Drosophila melanogaster: one gene and its partner. The gene in region 1 interacts genetically with each later gene. Each region holds a gene or a part of one and is shown on either strand. Other genes may lie near its edges. The genes, in order: ninaC and Rh3.

What was found.
Region 2: of ninaC (region 1) and Rh3, changing one suppresses a phenotype caused by changing the other (phenotypic suppression), as found in Drosophila melanogaster (one study listed by BioGRID).

Annotation. Positions count from the first base shown.
Region 1 is NT_033779.5:7,376,118-7,389,870, reverse strand, and holds ninaC (neither inactivation nor afterpotential C), read right to left. Parts: upstream 12,170-13,753; 5' UTR 12,006-12,169; intron 11,487-12,005; 5' UTR 11,471-11,486; coding exon 11,183-11,470; intron 11,088-11,182; coding exon 10,224-11,087; intron 10,166-10,223; coding exon 9,228-10,165; intron 9,160-9,227; coding exon 8,867-9,159; intron 8,808-8,866; coding exon 8,536-8,807; intron 8,469-8,535; coding exon 8,182-8,468; intron 8,116-8,181; coding exon 7,966-8,115; intron 7,911-7,965; coding exon 7,813-7,910; intron 7,750-7,812; coding exon 7,696-7,749; coding exon of another isoform or gene 7,532-7,695; exon of another isoform or gene 7,114-7,531; coding exon 6,926-7,113; intron 6,861-6,925; coding exon 6,445-6,860; intron 6,393-6,444; coding exon 6,116-6,392; intron 6,065-6,115; coding exon 5,684-6,064; 3' UTR 5,527-5,683; downstream 1-5,526. Other genes in the region: gudu, read right to left, coding at 1-496, 579-1,195; CG5149 (uncharacterized protein), read left to right, coding at 1,768-1,896, 3,223-3,447, 3,689-4,004, 4,067-4,440, 4,505-4,611, 4,731-4,821, 4,880-4,984; Wnt10 (Wnt oncogene analog 10), read right to left, coding at 12,612-12,799. UniProt on the Drosophila melanogaster protein: Required for photoreceptor cell function. The ninaC proteins combines putative serine/threonine-protein kinase and myosin activities. Essential for the expression and stability of the rtp protein in the photoreceptors.
Region 2 is NT_033777.3:20,076,860-20,086,479, reverse strand, and holds Rh3 (rhodopsin 3), read left to right. Parts: upstream 1-4,029; 5' UTR 4,030-4,053; coding exon 4,054-5,205; 3' UTR 5,206-5,420; downstream 5,421-9,620. UniProt on the Drosophila melanogaster protein: Visual pigments are the light-absorbing molecules that mediate vision. They consist of an apoprotein, opsin, covalently linked to cis-retinal.

The DNA of each region.
Region 1 (13,753 bases):
TTTGACATTTGCATCGGTTACGGCACACATCCAAATCGCTCCAGTGGCGCCTCTCAATAAAGGCTTATTTTCCCTCACATTCTTGTCCTTTATGATAGTTACCAAAGGTTCCAAGCCCCCAGCCTCCCTCACCAAATCCCTGGTGGTTCCGTCGAAGGCGCACTTGTAGATCGCTGTACTGCCCTCCATCTTCAGCTCGGTATTTTCGGAACTCAGATGGCTCACAATGTCGGGAATCATGCCCTCGGTGGTGATGGCCAGTTGGAACTTCGGCTCCGAGGAGCACTTTCGAACGGTGCCCATTATGGGAATGACGACATCGATGTGACAGGACTTAAGGAGCTGAGCCATCAAAGGAACAATTCCGCTCTTGCGCATCTGCTCCATGTTGTGCTTGGAATCGGCCAGAGTGAAAAGAGCCCGGGCTCCAGCGCGTGTCATATCGAGAGATTCCAGATCATCTGGACTCAATTGGTCACGAGGCGTCTTTAGAATGCTATAATATAATTAGGTTTTTTTTTAATTATTTCTTATATGTGGTGATGTAGTATGAAGCACTTTATCCAATGCCAACTCACCTCAACTTGATGTCGATGAGATCCACCAGCTTGGGGATTCCTCCGCAGGTGCGCACATACTTTCTGGCCAGTCGCACCTTGCACACATTGGCCAATGTCTCGGCGGCCATGGTTTTTAGGTCCTTCATGGAAGAGTTTAGGATGTCCACAATGAGGGGAATGCCATCCAGATCTACGATGGTCTTCCTAATATCGATGTTCAGTGTGATATCTGAGAGAACTTTGAGGGCGCCCAAACAGCACTTGGTGTCGCTGCACTCCAGGATGTTAACCAAGACATCGAGTCCGCCGATGTCCGAGATGGCGAACTGATTGATCTGGGTGCTCAGATCGTAGTCCTTCAAGCAGCACAACGATACTATAGTGGCTGTCTGATTGCCCGCCTTGATGTATTTCACCAGTTTTTGGATATTATAATAGTCAGCCGGAATCTCAGCGGCTCGCGCCACTTCCTTCCAGCGTTCCTCCTCATCCGTAGACGATTCCACCTCCGTGGTATCCGAGTCCTCGGCGGCCACCTGGCGCTTATCCTTTGAGAATCTGTTGGGACAGGATCCGCACTGTTCTTTCTTCTTTCGACTCCGATTGTGGGACGTTCCGCTGCTAGTGCCAATCATCCTTTCGCGTTGGATTACTCACAGATTTGGCCAATCGTATTCCGGAAATATCTGTCGGTATGCCAGCTTTCTTCAGTTTTGTATCGGAATTTATTGTGTTTTTGTGTGGGAGAACTTTATTAGGCCAGGCAATTGATTTAATAAGGCGTGTTGCTAAGGTAACTGAGATAATTTCAAAAATACCGGGCTAGGGCAAAGGTATCTTAGCTCAAACTTGTAAGTTTTTTTTTATTTTAATAAATTTTTAACTACAGCTATCCAAGGCATTTAAAATTTATTTTATTCGCTTGGCCTTCGTTGAATTCGCTTAGCGGTTAAAATTAACCGTTTAGCAAATACATCGACCTGACTTAGCACAGACAATAACCATTCATAGTGCAGACGACCACCGCGAAATTTACCCGTTTCCGAAACTATCGAGGGTATCGCAGGGAAATCGACTGCCATTCCATCACCAGCTTGTGTTGTTTGTTTTTTATTTTCAATTAAAATCCGCGATCATCCGCAGCTGCAGCTGCATTGTTTGTTTACCAGCCGTCGTAGCACCAGCCAACTGAATTTCGTGTCCTGAGATGGGAAATGCGAGTGGCAAGCGGGAGACGGATAATCTCTACAATTCGGAAGAGCTACGCATGCTGGAATCCGCGTACAAAAACGCCTCTGGCGGAGCACTTGAGAAGTTGACCCAAGACAGATTGGTGGTAAGTCAAGTAAATCCAGTTACCGTGCCACGTGTGCACTGCGAAAATCAATGGCAACTGCATTCTGCATTTGCGGAAGGGTCAGGGTCACAAGTTCAAGGACGCGCGGAGTGAACTTTCTTCGGCAAAAAAAGAGAAATCGGGACTTTCGAGTGCATGACAAACGGCCGTCCATCCACCTGCTGCGATGGCCACCCTTCACTTGAATGGGTATATCCTTTAGGGCATTAATTTGTTGTTGTCACTAACTCCTATTTCGAGGATTAAACATTGAAGTTAATCATAGTACTATGTTCCGAAAAAGAAGCTTAGTTATATAAGAGAGTGAGTCGCAACATTATCCGGCATTATACAAAAGTTCAAAGTTTCTAAACCTTATTTTAATACAGTTCTTTTTCGATTTAAAGTGCAAACCAGGAAATTTAACAGAGTTTATAAAAAGTAAATTATTCAACTTGTTTAAAAATGTAATTTTCTAAACTAGTCAGTCCTATTTAGATTAAATGTACACGTAACTTTCCAAAATTGTTATTTTAACCCATTTAGTTAAATCAATCTGATCATACACAATTTATGCTATAATTTTTCCGATGCGGGTTCAAGGCCCCAGATTTGTGTTTTATTTTTATCACAGCACAGATGACGGAAATGCAACCACTCAAAAAATGTTTGTTTGTAACCAGATGATGATTTTTCCTTATAATATTTCCATCTATTTATAGCTCGTGTTTGATTATCACAGCGCTTCCTAGGGTATAGCAAAATTCGATATCTTCAACTCGGGCGTTATCAGTTTCGAATTGATAATTCCTGGGCCAGTGCGAACGTGTCCATAATTTGTCTAATTTGTTTGCTGCCGCATTTCACTGTTTGTCTTTTGCTTTGTTGAATTTGCTTGCTAACGAATTAGTCGTGATTTCAATGACTGGGGTCGTCAATTAGGGCCAAACCCAATTGAATTAAAAATAAACCATATGCTTAACCCGTTTACAGCATGGCATGTGAAATAGTTGATTTTTAGAATGAGGAAATTATAAGACTTGCATTCATATAGAGTAATTTAAGCGGAAACTCTCTAAATTGAAACTTTACATACATTGAAGTAGTATTTATTTTCATAAAACTTGAGAGACTTTGTTTTCAGTCAAACCAAATTATTATTCATTGTACGTCCTTCAATGGGTTAATCTGTGTCAGCGCTTCCCAGACCTTCGTTCCCTGCAAGAATTTGCTGACAGCAGCGGGAAAATTATGTTTACGTATCCGGCGCGCATTTTGTTTATGTACACACATATACATGTATCTGTTGTTTTGTTTCGAAAATAGGAAACTTGGTCGCAAACCATCGAAAGATCCCTGGCCGAAAGTACGGCTCAGTATCTATTTACGCCCACGAAGCCAGGTCAGCAATGTGTCAACCTTCAGCTGAAGAAATTTGGAGAGCCCTACTACATCATGGAACGCGGTACTATTGACCAGAAAATGCAAATGCTCCTGGGCTCAATGGAGAGAAGTGGAAATGACACCTTCAACAGCAAGCAATTGGAGCAAGTGAGTCTATAAATAAGTAGTCATTGTCATCAGATCGCGGAAATAATATTTATAACTTCTGTCAGCCGAGCCTCATTAGGATTCATAACATGTTTGTTATTGAATTAGGTTTAGCTCTCCATTTATGTTTATCCTGAAAACTAGATTTCCACGTTTATTTTCTTAGCTGTCATATGAACAACTTGTTTATTTAATTCTTTTATCTTTTGCTCGCGAATTAATCAATTTTATAATTCCCCAGTATATCTACTCGGTGATCAAGAGCTACGTGCACTTGGAAAGTACAGCGAAAAACTCTGGCATCAAGGAGTGGCACGATCTTGGCTTTAACACCACGGAAAGGTCCGCCGCCACATTTGCCAAGGGCCTTATGAGAAATCTGGGCAAGGAGCTAGAGCACACTATGCCCAACGATGCCCTGGAACGTTGGTTACACGTCACTCCGCAGTTTTTGCAGATTTGGCGCGAGGTCTTTAGCCAGCTGTATTGTCGCCATGGTGGCAGCAAACGCAACATAATCAAGGAAATGGAAATTCCAATTCTGCCAGCACTGTGTGGTAGGACAAAGAAAATTTTTAAATTTATTAAAATCGTTTATAACTTTTTTCCTATTTTCCAGATGCTCCGCAAAATAGTCATTATCGCCCTATCATCGAACTACCTCACGTCCTGTATATCAATGCTCAGCTGCCCCGCGAACATCGGCACAAATGGCGCTTTCTATTCTCATCGAAAATCAACGGGGAAAGCTTCTCGACGATGTTGGGAAAAGTGCTGGACAAAGGACCAACGCTGTTCTTTATTGAGGACGAGGATCAATATATATTTGGCGGCTACGCGTCCGAAACGTGGTCCGTGAAACCGCAATTTGGAGGCGATGACAGCTCATTGCTCTACACCTTAAGCCCTGCCATGCGGTGCTTTTCGGCCACAACTTATAACAATCACTATCAGTATTTGAATTTGAATCAGCAGACTATGCCGAATGGCCTGGTGAGTAATGTTTATAGCTAATTGATTGATTGCTTTGCTAAATGTTTATATTTTTCGTATACAGGGCATGGGCGGTCAGTTTGATTTTTGGGGCCTTTGGATTGACTGCAGTTTCGGCGATGGACAAAGCGTTGAAAGTTGCACTACATATCGAGACTACGTGCAGTTGAGGTGAGTGTAAATTAAAATCTTGATTATGTTTCACCTTACAGACCACTAGATTCTATATTTTAATTCAACATTATTTTAAACAATTGTGGTTAATCTACCAATTATTTATCGTACCCAAGTAAACGGAAACAGTTCAAAATACGAAACATGGAAGTTTGGGCCGTAGGAGACTTACCAGTTAAAGAAGAAGACGAAGAAGGCGACGGTCACGTATGTCAAATTAAACTCAATATTATATTAAATAAATAATCATATCTTTAACCCATAGAAACGTTCTGTGCTGGATGGCAATTTGGAAGATCGGGCCATGTTGGAAATTGCGGGCAAGAAAATGCACTCGGATGGATTGCGTGAGCCCAACATGGATGATTGATATTATGTGAAACTATTTAAGGAAAAAGTTTTGTTTTATCATCGAGAATTTGTGAGACCATGCCCGATATGGGTGTGCAGTTAATGATTCAATTCAGTTTCCTTAGCTTTTTTGCAATCCCTATCGAACACACAAAAAAAGTCCTGCGAACAAAAGAGTATTTGTTCAATCCATTCCTATAAACGTTTTTGTTTAGGTATTAATGTTTATATATACAATGTATAATGGATATAGTTTATGAAATACTGAGAGTATTGTTGTTGCGTTTTAGATCTTAAAGTGAGAAAAGTAAATCATTTAAATGATGTAACAAAGAAGCAAGCATAATAAGCAATGTTAATTCGTCGAATTTTTCCCATTTTTATCCTACGTCAATAAAATGCAAATTAATTGCTGAATTTATATCAATGTCTTTAAAGTTAAATGTTTGAGTATGCCAAGGTAGCATTTACCTACAAATAACCTAAATAATTAAGTGGTTTATAGAGATAGAAAAATGAAATGCGGTAAGAAAAAAGTGAAAATTTAAATAACGATTTATCCCAAGACATTTTATTTATTCCATTGTGTGAAACGTTTTTGAGAAAGTGATGAAGAAAACTTCAATCATTATTTTGGAATTTTAGGTGGGTTTTAGCTAAATTGTCTTATGGTTTGCATAACAATTAATTTTAATATTTTTACTCTTAATCACTAGTTTTAGATATCGACGGCATAGCCTGAAAGAGTGATTCCAGGTGCAATCTCCTCTTCTACATAGGATCCTGCCTCCTCGAAGGATCTAGCATTGCTATCTTCGAAGCTGCGACCCACGCTGGCTGGAGATTGTCTCAAGGTCGGAGCCCTCTGCTGCTGGCCAAACTTCCTAGACACACCATAGTTTCCCGATGATGAATTATAGCCCTCATCGTCTTGGTACCGGCGACCTGTCGAGCGTAGCTTGGGCGGCTGGAACGTGTGTTGGTCACCACTGTCCGATCCGCGGCGATTGTTAAAGTCATAGGTGTTGGTCTCGGATCCCCTCGGATAGTTAGTCTTGCGCAGCATAGCCTTGAAGTTGAATGGTGGATCCTCAGAGTTCTGGAAAGAAAATATCTGAAGAATTTCCTTAGGAAATTGACATACACTTACATCACCCTCGTTGCGAGCCATGTTCTGAAGTTCTCTAACTGGATCCGACGGAGGATACGAGGATCTTTGCTGATAGTTGCGTTGCTGCTGGTTCGGATTATTGCGATAATAGTTGGATGAGGGCATTGGTGGAGGAGGAGGTGGAGGCGCCGCATAGCCCTTCAAGGAGTTGCGCCTGGATCCGGATCGATGTACGCCCCAGTTCTGGTTGTTATAGTTGCTGTTATAGCTGTTGTAGGCATTGTTATAGGCATTCATGTTCATCTGCATTTGATTTCTGAAAAAAAGTGTTAGAAACTTAAGTTCAACCTTTGAGTATCTTTGCTAACCTCCTCAGCTGTTGGGGATCTCGGAAGTAGCCCTGATTGTAGATATTGTCGCTCTCGCCCATGCGATCCCAGTTGGTCTGGCAAGCCTGCTCCTTCTTATAGGCATTGTAGGTCAGGGCACAAGAAGTCATCGAAGGATTGCGTTGCAGAGGGCTGTCCCAAGGCTCATCGTCCTCCATGTGCTGCGTTAGTAGCTGATTGGGGAAGGCTTGGCGGGAAATGGAATTGGCCGGGTCCACCATATACTGGGTGTCATAGAAGGGTATCTGATCCAGGCGGAATGGCATCTTTTTTATGGGCACTGGCAGTGGTCCTAGCTGCGAGGAGTTCACTTCGCGCATATTGATCCTCTCGAAGGGCACAGCCCGAGTACATTTATTCAAGCCAGCCACCATTCGTTGGTTGTAGATGTGGACCTGGTACATAATATAATATATATATATATATATATTGGATTTGAAGATAAGAGATTTGAACTCACCTGCTGTGAGAGATTGACAAAGTCCTGGAAGCGAGCCGCGCGGTAGTGCAGGAGGACCTGGAAGATAGACTTCTCGCGCCATTTCTTGGCAAACGGACGGATAAAGTCGGCGGTGTTCTCGTTTAGTTGGCCGGACTTCTCGTTGACCAGCGGAGGGAGGCGGACGCGGTCGCGGAATCCCCTGAAGGCTGTGGGAAAATGGAAACGGAGGAAGGCCGTTAGAGTAACCCATTTGAAAAGCGGTCGCGGCGGTGGACGGTGGTGGTGAATGAGAGGGAAGTCACCTTAATTTAATTAAATTTTCATTTCTTTTCTACGCAGCACTTATAATTCATCTCTTTTCGCAGGGGCCGTCGATGTTAAGTGTTATGTCTCAGACAGCTATAAGCCGATTGGTTGCATCAGATGGAGAACACAACCGCCCAGCGGGATGGGGTGGGATGGTATCCACATTGGACACCACTAAGCGGCTTAAGTGGTTTGCCGAGGCCCTAGACTAGATGATAGCTGGTTGTTTGCGTTTTCTACATTTTATTGGTAGTCGTATTACGATTAGTATCGATCGATATAGTGATATAGTGTGTATAAATGGTATATAGTAGGGGCCTATTCCTCGGCGGAGGCCTGCTCGATTTTGGCTATTCGCACCGCTGCCAGAGCCTCATCCATTCTGGCCTCGAGGAACATCTCCTCCGCCTCCGAGGGCGTCTCGCTTATGTCGATGTGCTCCTCGTCGTACTCTCTTAGCCTATCCACCTGCGTTTTTTTACCTTTTTGTATTTTGGACGCGGCCACATCATGATGCTCCGGTCCCTTTTTGCCCACTAATAGGGAATTTAAAATTAGATTTCATACCATATACTGTATAAGTATTATTTATATCTTACATTTGAAAACTTTGCCGCCCTTAACTCGTTTCCGTGCTAGCAAAGCTCGCATCATGGACTGCACTTTGATGACCTTCTTCACCTGCAGCTCATACAATCTGAAAGCAATTGATAGTACTTGCTTTTCTCAATGCGTATGAATTGATAGCTCACCTGGCTAAGAACTCATCGTTATAGTAGCGCAAAAACACCTTGGTCTTGCCCAAGGCCCAGCCTTCCATCTTGAGGCGCAAGAATAATAGACGACAGTTATCCTTGGTCATTTCCACGGGCTCATCAAAGTCAAAGGCAAGGAATTGGTATCTAATACGAATATTTTAAATATTTAGAAATCTTTAAATGGAAACTGGAATGGAATCGATTACCCACCGCCTTAGGAACTCGTCGAATGGCAGACGCGAGCTGAATCCCTTCTGGCGAGCAATAACAGTGTCCAGAACTCCCAAGGCCTTCATCTGTTGCTGGACGACATCCGAGTGGAAGGATCTGGGCTTGTACTCCAGATCAGCGCGAATGCAGCGAACGAAGTGCACGCCGAGATTTGCATTCTGGCTTAGCATTTTGAGCAGGGTCAGGCAGGTGAAGCGGAAGTTGGCCGCCAGGGTACGTAGATTGTTCACTTGGGAGATGCATCCGGCACTTAGGGTATTCAAGGCCTGAAATGCATAGTTTACAAAAATATACCAAATTTAGGTTAGCTAATAAAAACTGTGACAGACTTACATATGACTTCCGTTCAGATTCATCCTTATGCTGCACTGCCTCGAATGGCATGGTGAGATTGCCAGCCTTGGTCAGTTGATTGGTGAACATGAGCATGATGCTCTCATCCAGCGAGGAGCGGAAGGTCTCGATCATTTCCGGCGGCACAAAGTCCCGGTTGATGTCGGTGAAGGCGCGCGTATCATAGATGATGCGGCCCGTGTAATGAGCCACGGATATTTCAGTGGCAGTGTGCTTCTTCACAAACTGGCTGTGCTTCTCCGAAACGCGATCTGTAGATGGAAAGTGGTTAAATCACATATCCAAAGTGGTGCCAGAATTGGTTGTATACCCATAATCAAATCCTGATCTTGACAGGAGCGTGAGGCATCGTCAATGATGTAGAACAGGCCATCCGGTTTGGTTAGCAGATTATCCAGAGCTGTCTTGTTGTCATAGAAATTCAAGTTGATGGTGTCAATGTCTTCAGCTTCCATTTCCAGCATTTCGCTGATAAAAATACGTTGATTGTAGTGATATTGCATTTGCTCGTTTAGAGTATTGATCATTAGTTGCTCCAGACCATTTCGATTAAAGCACTCAAATCCAAACATGTCGTGAATAATGATGGCATTTGTGTCTCCGCTTAAAAAGTTATTTAAGCCACATTGTTAAACTTATGAATTTGTAACTTTTTTTTTAATATTACTTACAACACAGCCCGTGGGAAGGACATGTTCATGTTAATCCTGTTGATGATAAAGTCCACCAATCGAGAGTAGAGCGTGCTGGCCACCGCATCGCGTGCATCCCTAGCTTCTTCAGTGGTGTACTGTCGCCTCTCGGCGATCCCGCCCTTGACCATAATGAAGTTGGTCAGAGACCACATGAACTTTTTCTCATCCACACGGAGGAGCTCGGCGATCCGGGACACAATGTCCGTGTTCTCCACTTCCGCATACTTTCCGTTCTGCCGGAAACGGATGTTGCCAATGTTCAAAATGGCAGCCAAAACTTTGCGAACGGTCTCCAATTGCTTGTGATTGAAATCAATGTCCCGCAGGATGTTCTCGAACTCCCTGTACCTCTCCACATTGCCCTCGGGATCATCACGACGATACTTGAGTTTCGATGGCGGAACCTCTGGCGGAACTCGCAGATAACGATAATTGCGATCAGCCTTCAGATTGTACTCCTTAAGCTGATTTTGCTGATTAATAAAGTCGTAGAAGTAGTAGAAGATGTGGAAGTTGTGCTGGGTTCCGTCCGTAGTGGCCACTCGTAGTTTCTCCAGCATATACATATTAAAAACGGCCCCACTCATTTTGCCGGTTTTTCCAAAGGTCAAGCAATATTGTAGGACACATCTTGTGGAGTCGTTGTTTACCGGAGTTCCTGCATTCACCAACATCAGGATGGCCTTGATGGAGCTCTCCACGCGCCCGGTGGCCCCACGATTTCCATCACCCAAGTAGCACAGATGCTTGATTAGCAGCCGGGCATTTGTGGACTTGCCCGAGTAGCTCTCTCCGGAGAGCACGATGTGTTGCGGCTCCTTATGATGCAGCATATCCTGGTAGGCGATATCGGCCACCGAGAAAATATGCGGCTGGTTTTCCGAACGCGACTTGAAGCGATACTTGGCATGGAACTAGAGAAAGGATAAATATAACATATTTAAGTATACATATTAGATGTTTTCAACTTACCTCCTGCGGAAATTCCTGCTTGATTTCATTGGAATTCAAGGATAAAAGGATATCGCCAATGAAACTGTACGATTCCCCCATCAAAATGCGATGACGCAGTGACTCGATTATGTTTTCATCCACGGGATTTTCCAAGGCAGCCAAGTCCTCCGGATACATCTTTTCCGGCTTCTCATCGAACCTCTTCACATAGCCGCGGTCCACGAACAATTCCGGCTCCTTGTACAAAGTCTTTACATCCCTAGAGAGTTCCAACATTTCTGCGATGTCCGATCGCATCTCGTCCTCGTTTTCGATGAGCTCCGTGAGGAATGGATGCTCCACCATCTCAACCATCATGGGCCGATTTTCGGCATTTTTCTCCAAACTCTCGGATATAAAATCATTGATCTGCTGCGACCAATTAGTGGGTCGCATTAAGGTCGGCGGTGGATTGCGAATGATCTGGAACATGGCCCTAGTGGGATGCATGTCAGCGAACGGTGGCTTTCCATCGGCCAACTCAATGGTAGTGATTCCCAAGGCCCAGACATCGGCACGAACGGTGATGTCCGGTTCGCGGGATTCCATGGCGGACACCACTTCGGGAGCCATCCAGCAGGGAGATCCAATGCAGGTGCCCCTCTTGCCCAGAGTGGAATCCACCTGACGGGATAAACCGAAATCGCACAGCTTGACCCGTCCATTTTTGGTCAACAATATGTTATCTCCCCGAATGTCCCGATGCAGGACATGATTACGGTTCAGCTCGATGGCAGCACGGCAAGTCTCCCGGATAATGTAGGCGATGTGCTCCTCTCGCATTCGACGATCCAGTTTCAAAAGCTTGTTAACCATGTCCACTGCTGTTCCCCCAGCGCAGTACTGAAATATTCAAATGGTTTATATAAATTACAAAAAATTGGATTTAAATTTTTGGAAAAAATTTAATAAAATATTAACAAAATGTTTTGACTCACCTCCATGACAAACCAGATCTCATCAGGTCCGTTTGGCTTCGACAGCTTGTAGACGCCATAGAACTCGGGAAGATTGGGATGGTCGCAGTAGTCCCGCAGAGTGCGATACTCCTCCTCGATGGAAACCTGGTGCTCCTCATCGTAGTGCTGAATCTTCAGGGCAACGATCCGATCATTGTCGAGCTCCTTGGCCCGAAAAACCTTGGCATTGACGCCTTGGGCTATCTCCTCGTAGATCTCGAATTTATCCGTAGGATCCGGCAATTGCGCGTACGGTAAATACATCATGACTTAGATGCTTATTCTGAATATTCGAAGAACATGTGGGTTAAACTTGGGAATTGGGTCTATCATAAAATGGGCTTCAAAGGTTTTCTTTTTCAATTTTCCCTCATGCAAATCGCATTATATTTGGGTTCATTGTTGCAAAACACTTAAGAATGGGCATTCTAGAGGTTTCATTGTAATCTTTTGCTTCTAATAACAATTTGCTTTTTCTTTAAAGGTGAAAGTTAAGTTACTTTGGTTTACTTAACGTAAGGATATTTTGGAATGTTTGCTTTGCAAGCACGAAAGATTTCAAGGACCTTTAAACAAATAAGATGCAATTTTGAAATGTAAAATTATAATAAAACCATTTTCTATAAAACACTTAAATAATTCATGTGAAAACGAAAAAGTTAAATGTACGATTTATCCTTGGTAATTAATCCTTCCTAGGTTTGTATTTTGAATCAGCAACTTTGGATAAAGGGATTCTAGGGGGTTATTTGTATTATATCCACTTCACAGGGCTTCAAACACTTAATCCTTCAGGACACACCTTCGCTGCCGCAGATTGGCACACTTATCCTGCAGCTGTGTATTTTTGGTTGCAAGGATGTACTTGTGTGGAACTTCGAACCGACCGCACGCATGCAGCACGTACCGCTGCCGTTAGCCAACTAAATGATGGGCCAATGCAATCGGAGGCTTTTCACTGGCAAGGAAGGAAGCCATTCAATGGGCAGTACCTGGGTGCACACCTTGGACAACTATTTAGCTGGCTAATTCAATTAGCGGCGGCGACATTCACGTGCAAGTGAAAAAAGCGGCGACACAGATGGCCAAAATGCCGAGGTGAAAGGGAAATTGGCAATGCGAGTGAAAGTCAGCTGATTGACAGACTAATTATGCATCTTATTGTTCGTATTTACAAAATATATTTATACGTATTCCAAATGGCTGGAGATTGCTAAACTAGGCATTGCATTCACACACGTTGTTTATTGATGTTTGCCCTATTGCGTACTTTATGTTTTTTTTTCTGTAATACTGATTTCTTTGTGTGTTAAGTTCTGTGAGAATGAAGAAAAGTCTTTTCTTATGCATGTGGCTGAGGCTCCATCGCTCCATCACTTCATCGTCCTTCGTCTTGCGTCCATTGTCCTTAATTGCATATGCTAATCCATTCCTCTACGTGGCACTCCTCGCACTCCACATTACAGCACCATTGGAATTTACAGTGACACCGCTCCGCCCTCCGCTGGATGACCTGGCTGTGGCCACGGCCACAGCAGAGGGAGGTGCATCCGTCGCTGGTCGTGGTGTTCCGATTGCACTTGCGTCCCACGGTGCCTGTGCGGAAATTGGCTCAGATTAGTCATGTTTATGTTTTTCTAAAGATATAATCATCAGAAAAGAAAATTATGTGGTATCTATTAAAATATAAAAATAACAAGTTAATAAAATTAGTGGTGTAAGATTTGCGTAATTAGCAAATGATTAAGTGTTCTCATCAAATGCAATCCATCGCCAAATGGCAGTTAATCCCGCCTACTGGCGGACAAGCAATTAAAAGACCATAAATAAACTATTAAACTAAAGCACAAACAAAGTATCATAATTGTTTGGCCGACGATAATTGCCAGCGTTAATTGCTATCATTTGAATAGACACGACACCGGACACGGACACATGAATCAAAACGCCCGATGGGCTGGCTGCTCCCCAGTTCACTGCTGTTGGAGCCTGAGTTGGAGCTTGAAGTGAAGCTGGAGTTACCGGGCTAAGCCGACGATTAATTATAAATTTGCGTCGTAATTAACACTTTTAAACTGCTGGCAGTTGGCGGGGCAGCAGCGACGCTTGATAATTTGCAAATGTGTCAACAGCAAAATGGCTAACGAAAATTGCAAGTGGCAGTTAGACGTCGATTTCGATGTGAACGTGCCGCAGTTTCGACCGATCCCCCAAGCCAGAGTACAAGCAAGGGGGGAGAAATGAGGGGATACAATTAACCCAAACTCATTTCCAAGCATAAAAAGTAACGATTTTCTTTTAGTATGTTTCGGCCAATTGTAGTTTAGATAACATATCAAAAACCTTTATTTTAAGAATGTCAAATAAGAACCCCCCTCAGATTTTCAGTCTCCGCCACTGCTTTATACAATCCAAACTGAGTTGAGCTGATCCGAACCAATCCAATCCGATCCGATCCAAACTGAGCTAAGCTAAGCTGAGCTGCTGTGCGCATGCGTCGCTGTCGCATTTTTTTCGTAAATTATGTGGCAGGTTTGGTAGCCCGTTTAA
Region 2 (9,620 bases), on another chromosome or scaffold:
ATTGCAAAAATGCTCAATTTGGTGCCGCAACCAAATTTCATTTTAATTAATTAGAATTGATAACAATAACGGGTTTCCATGCCTTTTTTGTTTCGACCTCGTAGAATAATAAATGACTTAATGGGTTTATATTTATGTTAGCCGGCGGTGAAGGGCGGTATCACTACATGGAGTCGCCATCAAGATCCAACCGGAAAAATCATTATTGGAAAATCGGGGTTAGGGCCAGAATTAAATACCCACGAATGTCCGGGATAATTATTGATTGAATGTGCCGAGATATCAAAATAATCGAATTGACAATGCAACTTTATTAAATGCTGCCAGAACAGTAGTTGTATCACAGCCATTGCGCAACTATATTATTACCCGTAAATTGCGTTAGCATGTTCTTGAATTTCACATCTGAAATACACAGAATATATTATGCATACTATAAACTTATACTTATTTGGCTTGATTAGGTATTTCATTGCATAAAGATAAACTAGCTGAGAGCGAAATTAAATTTAGCTAGAATTTGGAAAATGATCTTGGACGCTTTTATATAAATAAAATAAAATTAATATGTTTCAGAATGATCTTGACTACCAAATTTTAATTTATCAAAGTCTTGCTATCTTGCGGTTCTGAAAACCTATGTTAAATGTTCATCATATTTTATGAAGTTACACTTTTAAAATTGAAAATATAATTTATATCGTAACAAATGCTTAAGTACCCTCTTTGCTTCTAAAATCATAAAAAATTAAACACTGTTTGGCCCTTAAATAGTTTCGCTAATGCGGGAAACCGTTTTGCAAACTTTTTCCCATTTGGCGAGCATAAGCTTTCCCAAAGTGAATTCACATCTTTCCCTTTGCTGCAGGACATACCAAACACACACGCACAGTAAAATATGTTCACCAAACTGCAATCAAAGCGACATAGCACAAATTTCACAGATTTTTGCACATTAAAAATATGTTCGCTTTTCCAGATGCTATACACTAACAAACACACATAGTGCCACGCCTCCCATGAGCCCATTTTTTGCATGCCAAAAAAAAAGAAAGAGTAAACTTTTTATGCCAACGAGGCCAAAAAAAAAATCCGCATGTGGAAAAGAAATCGAGACAGGGGATCCACAAGGAGCTGCCGGGCAAAAGGGGACGTTGTGGCCAATGCTGCGATGCCGCAACTCAACCTTTTATGGCCCGGAGCCATGGCAAAATGCAACGCTGAATTTGATAATCAATTACCGTGCCATAGCCGAAAGGATGCGACCGAGGTCCTGTGGGGGCCACACATGACTCCAAACACAAGTAAATGCCCCCGAATACACTCACTTTGTACAACGCCACGTATGAGTAATATGCGGGATTGTCTATGCCAAAGGGCATGTGTGGGTGAGTTGCAGGTGGTAATGCAAATAAATATCCGAATTCGCCTAGATTTTCCAAAAAATGTTCATTACAAACTGCAAATTGGTTTGTGTCTGCTCAACAGCTGCTACCCGCTGGCCGTGTTCATGTAAATATATCCTTGTCGTTGCATATCTTAAACCAATTAATGGATTGCCAGTCACAAATGCTAAAAATTCCATATATCTTGTTTTCATTCAGAAGGCAGGAATTTATGGCAGGCAGTAGGAAAGCTCAGACCAGAATATTTTCTTAAATCTGATAAAGTGGATTTATAAGCTTAGCTAACAAATACTTATCTATGAGGTACAATTTATTTAGCTGCGTAATTTGTTGCCTAAAATTCATGTGCTACATTCGGGTTAGTTAAGTTTCGATCTGCTAAGATAGAGTAGTTGAAGGAAATTAAAGCTCAGCTGCCTTTTTATCGATTCACTTGGCAATTGCGCTTAAATGGAGTTTCTTTTTAAGCAGCAACTTTCATTTCCGCTTGTCATTAATTGACGCTGTCAGCTTTGGCAGCAATCACTTAATGAAATCATTTAATCAGTGCCGGCGACAATCGACAAAGTGGAAGTGGCAGCCCTTCCGCTCGCTTCTCTAGGAACACATGTTCCATTTATGCTGCACACTAATCAACCTGGCACTGCCAGCTCAGTGCTATTTGGCTCCCCATCGCCATCGGTTGCTCCAATGACACTAGGGAATTGTGGGCCGCCGACAGCTGTCCTTAATTACATGGAAATCCACACTAGATTCGTGCCCCTCGCCCCGTACTCGCAGCCGAAGTCCCCACAGAGTCATTCACCTTGCCACCACCAAAAAAAAAACGAAAGCAACTGAAGGAAAAGTTCGATTCGAAGGCTGAGGGATACCCTTAAAGGCCCATTTCCCGGCTTCGTAAATCACATTTAGTTAGCCATTTAGACTACAGCAAGTCTTTTAAGATACACTGCAAAATAAATACCATTACATTAATAGAAGTGTCATGTCATCGGTCTGTATTTTTGTTACCACAGAATAGACTTACATATATGATAAAAAAATGTTCAACAATAAGTTACATCGGTAGCCAATTCTATAGATTTAATTCCTTACGAATATAGTTTCGTTGGAATACTCAATTTGTAATTGTAATTAATTATAATTATTATAATTTTAAGAATTTATATAAGTAACTAAAAGACACGGCAGACACAGAATGAAAACACTCTATGTTAGGGAATGCAAAAAAACGTGGCGGAAGCCAAAAGGCGCAAGCAAAAATCGAAACCAAGTGAATATAACATATTATTTCAACAGGCAACTCATTCAGCATATAATATTACCACCCATGGAGCTTTATGTAGTTGATGTACGTAGTCTATGATGTGGAGCCCACGTTGGCGGAACTGGGAATGGGGATTGGGGTTTGAGAGCTGTGGTAAATTGGGGGGTTGAAGTATCAAGGGTTTGGGTTCTGTAGACCTGCGGAATCGAGGTGAATAAGCGAAGAACACATTCACACACACTAAAAGGCAAACAAAGGGAAATCAATCTTTGTACATACTTTTAGCATATGCACACGTATGATCTCCACCCACTTTTCCCTCCCAATGAAACAAACACACACACACATGCAAGGCCGTACGTTTGTATATGTGTGCGGTTGTCGGCTTTGCCGGGAATTGGGGAATATTTGCATGCCTTTGTGTACTTTTTCCATATGATTTATGACCTAAATTGTTGCTGCTCGCGCACATATAATTACACACACATCGCTGTGGCCATGTGTGTGTGTGTCGTCTTGGGACGCGCGCCAAAGTATGCTACACTTTTTGTTTTATGAGTTAATAAGTAGGCGTGGCCCCAGCCCAATTGCTACACTCTGATTATGGCACCGGATACCCAGATAGACGCCCATCCACCCCACTGTAAGATGGGGGAATTTCCAAACCTATATGTATGTGCAGATCAGATAGGATAGCACAGAACTTTTTAAAGTACACTTTTGGGGCACGCAATTTAGAAAATGTACCTCGGTGTCGGAGAAATTATTTTAAAAGTCGACTGAACCACCTCGTTCCATATGGAGAAGTCTACGAGTTCAAGTTTAATGGAGCAGCTGACTGCACTGAATTTTGTAGTTTAATACACAAATCCGCAAATTGCATCTCACTTCAAATAGCCTGGTACATAGTATCTACTAACATAACTCATATTAAAATAAAGCAACCAACCAGAGGGCCGAAGTTCTATTAATAAAACTAATATTTAACTATTATATATACATTTTATTTACTTGGTACGCTTATGATAACCTTCGAAAGAGAACCAACACAATACGCTTTGTCATTTGAAAAATAAATATGCTGTAACTACTTTACAAGGTGAAACTCTTGTCAGAAGATAAGAGGCTAGGTAAGTTGATTATTCAATCAGTTTACTTACTGCAACCCAAAATGGTCACTGCACTAACCTTCAGATGAGCTGCACTACACCCTCAATCGAGAATCAATGCAAACGCAGTGCCAGCGAAAATGTCAGCAAGGGATTAGGCCAATCCCAAACGGGTAATCCCGCTGCGACAATGCTAATCCAATTCCGATGGGCCGTATAAAAGCCCCAAGCTGGGCTGGCTGTGATTTCGTCTTGGCCCGCAGACCGGAGCATGGAGTCCGGTAACGTGTCGTCGAGTCTGTTTGGCAACGTGTCCACCGCGCTGCGGCCGGAGGCGCGGCTCTCCGCCGAAACGCGTCTGCTGGGCTGGAATGTGCCGCCGGAGGAGCTGCGGCACATTCCCGAGCACTGGCTAACTTACCCGGAGCCGCCCGAATCGATGAACTACCTGCTGGGCACGCTCTACATCTTCTTCACCCTGATGTCGATGCTGGGCAATGGACTGGTGATTTGGGTCTTCTCCGCAGCCAAATCGCTGCGAACTCCCTCCAATATACTGGTCATCAATCTGGCCTTCTGCGACTTCATGATGATGGTCAAGACTCCGATATTCATCTACAATAGCTTCCACCAGGGATATGCGCTGGGTCATCTGGGATGCCAGATCTTTGGAATCATTGGCTCCTATACGGGAATCGCTGCCGGTGCCACCAATGCGTTTATAGCCTACGATCGATTCAATGTGATCACTCGACCCATGGAGGGCAAGATGACGCATGGCAAGGCCATTGCCATGATCATATTCATCTACATGTACGCCACTCCATGGGTGGTTGCCTGCTACACGGAGACTTGGGGCCGTTTTGTGCCGGAGGGATATCTGACATCCTGCACCTTTGACTATCTCACCGATAACTTCGATACGCGACTCTTTGTGGCCTGCATCTTCTTCTTCAGCTTCGTGTGTCCCACCACGATGATCACGTACTACTACTCCCAGATTGTGGGCCATGTCTTTAGCCACGAGAAAGCACTGCGGGATCAGGCCAAGAAGATGAACGTGGAATCGCTGCGTTCGAATGTGGACAAAAACAAGGAGACGGCGGAAATCCGGATAGCCAAAGCGGCCATCACCATATGCTTCCTGTTCTTTTGCTCGTGGACGCCGTACGGAGTTATGTCGCTGATTGGCGCCTTTGGGGATAAGACCCTTTTGACGCCCGGAGCCACAATGATTCCCGCCTGTGCCTGCAAAATGGTGGCCTGCATCGATCCGTTCGTGTACGCCATAAGTCATCCCAGATACCGCATGGAGCTGCAGAAGCGATGTCCCTGGCTGGCGCTCAACGAAAAGGCGCCGGAATCGTCGGCTGTCGCCTCCACCAGCACCACCCAGGAACCACAGCAGACCACCGCCGCCTAATGCAAATTCCCACCCAACAGCCACCCATCCAAAAAATGCTGACAATGATGATGAACTGAAACGGCAACGAACTCGTAATACCAAACGCCAGGGAAAATTGTATAAATATTTCACGGAGTTTCTGCTAGAGTGCAAAGAGTTGAAAATATTTTCTTGTTATGATTTGTAGTCACTTTTGTGTTTATGAAAGAAATATAGTAAAATTACAGCAAGCTATGGAAAAAAGAGTTATATAAACTGTTTTTTTTTTTTTATTTCGTCGAACTAACCAAATAATGATGGAAGTTAAAGAGGATTTAATTTTACACAACTTTTTTGTGTTAAAATATGGCCAAATGTAAGTAACTGAACATAAAAAGTTAAGTAAATACTCTTATCAACTGAATAAGTCATTAACTCAGTTGACAACTTTAATAAAATAAATTCTTAAAAATCTTGAGTTGATATAATCAGGTCATACTCAACGCATTGTGCAAAACACCTATTGTTTCACCAGGTTTACTTATGTTTATAGAAATCCTAAATGTTTGGTGTTTTGCTGATAACGAAAATGTGCATTCATTCGAAGGGGAAAAACTTCTTGATGTAAAAATGTAGGCTCAGTCCCGCTTTGAACTTTGCCCCCTTGTCAATTGTCAATCGTCCACTTGACGCGGCCATTGCAGGGCACTCAGACGAGCCGAAGAAGGCGGCTTAATGCTCCCAGGAGCGGAGATGGCCAACAGCAAAAGAGTTGGCCAAGAACAATAGGGAATTGTGCCAGTTCCAATGGAATCCACAGACGGGAAAGCAGCTCTCTAACTCTCTTGTGCTCGCTTACTTTCTCCGGAGAGCGAAAGCTTTAGCAGGTGGAAGGATCCTGCGCAGTGCGAATATTGAAACATTTTTGGGAATGAAACATATATGGGGGAATGCTGAATCGAACACAGACCGAATATTACAGGAATTTTGATAAATAACAAACTTGGGATCCACACACACTTAAATACCTGCACGTGGCACCCGAGGGAATTTGCATTTGTATCCTAGCCATCAAAGTAAACAAAATAACGGCCTGAAATCCACATGGAGTCCACTTGCAGCCCAGTCTCATTAGTCACGCGTCCTTTGGATTTTGAAGCCTGCGGTAACTGGCTGTAAATCAGCAGAACCTTGGCCACAAAGGATGCCTAGATTTTTGTGCCACACAACTTCCACATGGCCTCCGCTTTGGCTTACGCCCACCAAACACCACCCCAAATGGCATTTAACAAATTGTTGGCCAAAGTGTTGCACCGTGTGTTTGTGTGGCGCCTCATTATTATTGTTTTCCCAGCTACCATTTCCTTCACACTTTTCGTAAAGCCCCTCCCCTGCCTCCCCTGAGTTTGCCTATCTCTGCCTTTCTCGTTGGCGCCTAGCCTAGCACGCTTTTCCACTTATTGCCTGGCGGGCATTTGCCAGAGCCTTTTCCCTGCGTCGTTTTGCGGCGAACCCAAAAACCGCACACAGACAGCCAGCGAAACGAGCTGGGAAAACTGGTGGGTATGCCAGAGAAAATCAGGGGGCAGATGCGAGGCAGATGCGGGAGAAAAGCGCTGAGCGAGTAGCAAGGCCATAAACCAAAATCGGTCGCAGCCACCGACGCGCGCAAATGGTAAAAACGAAGTAAAATTAATGAAAATCACACACACACAGCCTGATATATATAGTTATATACAAAAACAGACAGGCAGCCAGACGGAGCGGTCGGCGGGCAGAGACAATTAAAATGGCACCCACAGAACGTCCTTGCACCGCTGAGTGAATGCCGCCAGGCAGCGCCACACAAACCACCCAGCCACCCAAGCCACCCAAACCATCGAAAACCACCCAAACCACCCACAGCCACACAGGCCATGCGAAAACCAGCCACCGCACGACGGCACGGCACATTTGTCTTTCACGAAATTCGCTTTGGCTCTCATTAATTAAGATAATTAGGCCTTTTCGACGCCTTCAAAGTTCAACGTTCAAAAAAGAGCAAGGTGAATGAAAAACGCACCCGAATACAAAAATACAACAAAATGTCGGCAACATGAAGGGGCCGCATTTTGTGACAGTTCAAAGTTCAGCATCGCATGTTGCAGTAACTCCGGAGAAATGGGCTCTACAATTTACCTTTACCCACACATACATTTAGTACACAGTTTGCGTGGGGAAACTCTCTATGGACTTTGCTTAATGAGTGGTTGGCGGCTTGCTTGCGTTTGATTGCCCCACATGGTCGCAAACCACTCTCTCAAAGACCTCCATTGTGCAGAGACTTATTTTGAGGAGCCTTCGAATGCAACCGCAACAGAAATTGCGGACATGGTGGTTTGCAATCCAACAATTTGTCATCGCCAGAGTTCACTGTACAGTGGCGCAACTCCTCACAAAAAGTACATATTTGTGCAATATAAGAATTTGTTAATGCATAATAATGCATATAGAAAGTATAACTATATATATGCAGTTCAAGTTTCTCCAAGGACTTCCAGTTTGCATCGCACTCTGCTTTGATGAAGCACAACTCGATTTCCTTTTGACTGGCGAAAGGCAATTTCTTTTCATATTTTTGCATATTCCTCGAACTGATTAAAATCACTTGCAGCTGCATTCTCGATAGCTCATAAAAATGTCAGCTAAATTAGTTATAAATCAGCTAGGAGCGACCCCATGCTGTTTTCCAGCAAACTCGACTTGAAATGCACAAGACACAAGGCAGTTCACAACTTTGTGAGCCAAAATGAAGCCATAAATTATACGAACTAATAATTATATGCCATCAAATTGTTGTAAGCAGCGGCAAAAGCAAAAGCTATAGCAAAAGCCAGCTAACGGGAAGGCTAAAGTCAGCCAGTGAGTTTAACGGCCAACATAAATTATAGACATTTAAAAACGGGGTGGTGGATGCCACGTTCACTTAACGGATCAAGGGGGGAGTTTGGCGGAGGAGTGAGCTATGCGGCATGGAATATACGATTTTTATCACAGTTTATGCACTGCACACAAAGTCAACATAATAAGGTCAACACGCACACAGGACTAAGGACGAACTGGTTGTGGGTGGCGCCTAGTTGGGTGTCGCTTTAATTAAATGGCAACATCCAGCGAGCCAGAGAGCAAAGTTCGAGGTCATCTGCCAGTCGCCGCTTTACAGCAATTACGCCCTGCCGTCACAATTTTTTACAGCCCAGCAATTTGCAACAAAATTAGCCCGAAAATGTTACGCGGCCATGGCCGTGCCTCATTCAGAATCCACATAAACAAAAGATTGGGTTAAGCGTGATCGTGGGATTCCGGACTGGAGCATACGTCTAAGTGACTCTCCATGGATGGGCCATCATGACAAATGCCTCGTAGCCACCTCTTTTCCCCTGGCGCAACAGACGCCTCATTCCAGTACTACTACTCCACCTCCTGAATGGCATTCTCGTCCATATCTTGGCAGTCGTAAAGTTCCTGGCATGGCAACAAAAAAGAGCGTTTAAATTTTGTAATTTAAATGCAAATTGACAGGCAAATGACAAACATTGCAATTAACGAGGGACTAGCGGGCGTATACGCAATGTGGCCACAAACTCACAGTGGCCGGACCAACTCAACCAACTCGGCGAACAGCGAGACTCCGCAACAGGACATAATTTAGGCCCTGCTACGTGGAGGGCTAAAATGGTCGGAGCCTCATCTGCGGATGGGCCAGGATGGTCGGTAATGGTCTGGACTCGAAATGGGAATATGCAAATCTTTCTGGTTAGCGCCTGCATTTGCAAGTCATGGAGCATTGGAGCAGTCGGCCTGTTGGGCAAAAGCGGTCCCCACCAATTGAATGACTCGTCGAACGGCGCCATTGTAGGTACTCACATCGATTGATGATGGTAGCAGGTCTGAACGGAATTATTACCGGAAATGTCCGACATTAAATTCAGTAAACAAAGGACTTCCCAACTATTTCTAAATCAATCAACAATTGGATTTGTAATGTTTCGGACATGGCAATCAATCAAATACATCAACACAAATTGTTGTATGTATATTTCATTAAGTTAAGAGGAGTTACACTAAAAAAGTTGGTGTGTTGGTTTTACAACTAGAAATTTTACTTTAAGTGACGAATTTCGTTTAATTTTTGTGGCTGACTTGTGCAAATTGGATTTTGAGCCCCTTGCAGACGGAAAAGAGTTCGTTGGCCCGCATGCAAATTATTTGTTAAAGTTTCCTTGAAACTTGACCAGTGCTGGCGCACTTTCAGGGCGCACGAAGAACAAATTAAAAAGGTAAAATAGCTAAATAATTTATAACATTAAAATATCATTTACCAGACTGTTTCCATTGACGTTTGTATAATTAAGCAACCAAATTCAATGCAATAAGAAAAGTTTGGGTAAAAACCGTCAGATATTGGGAGATAC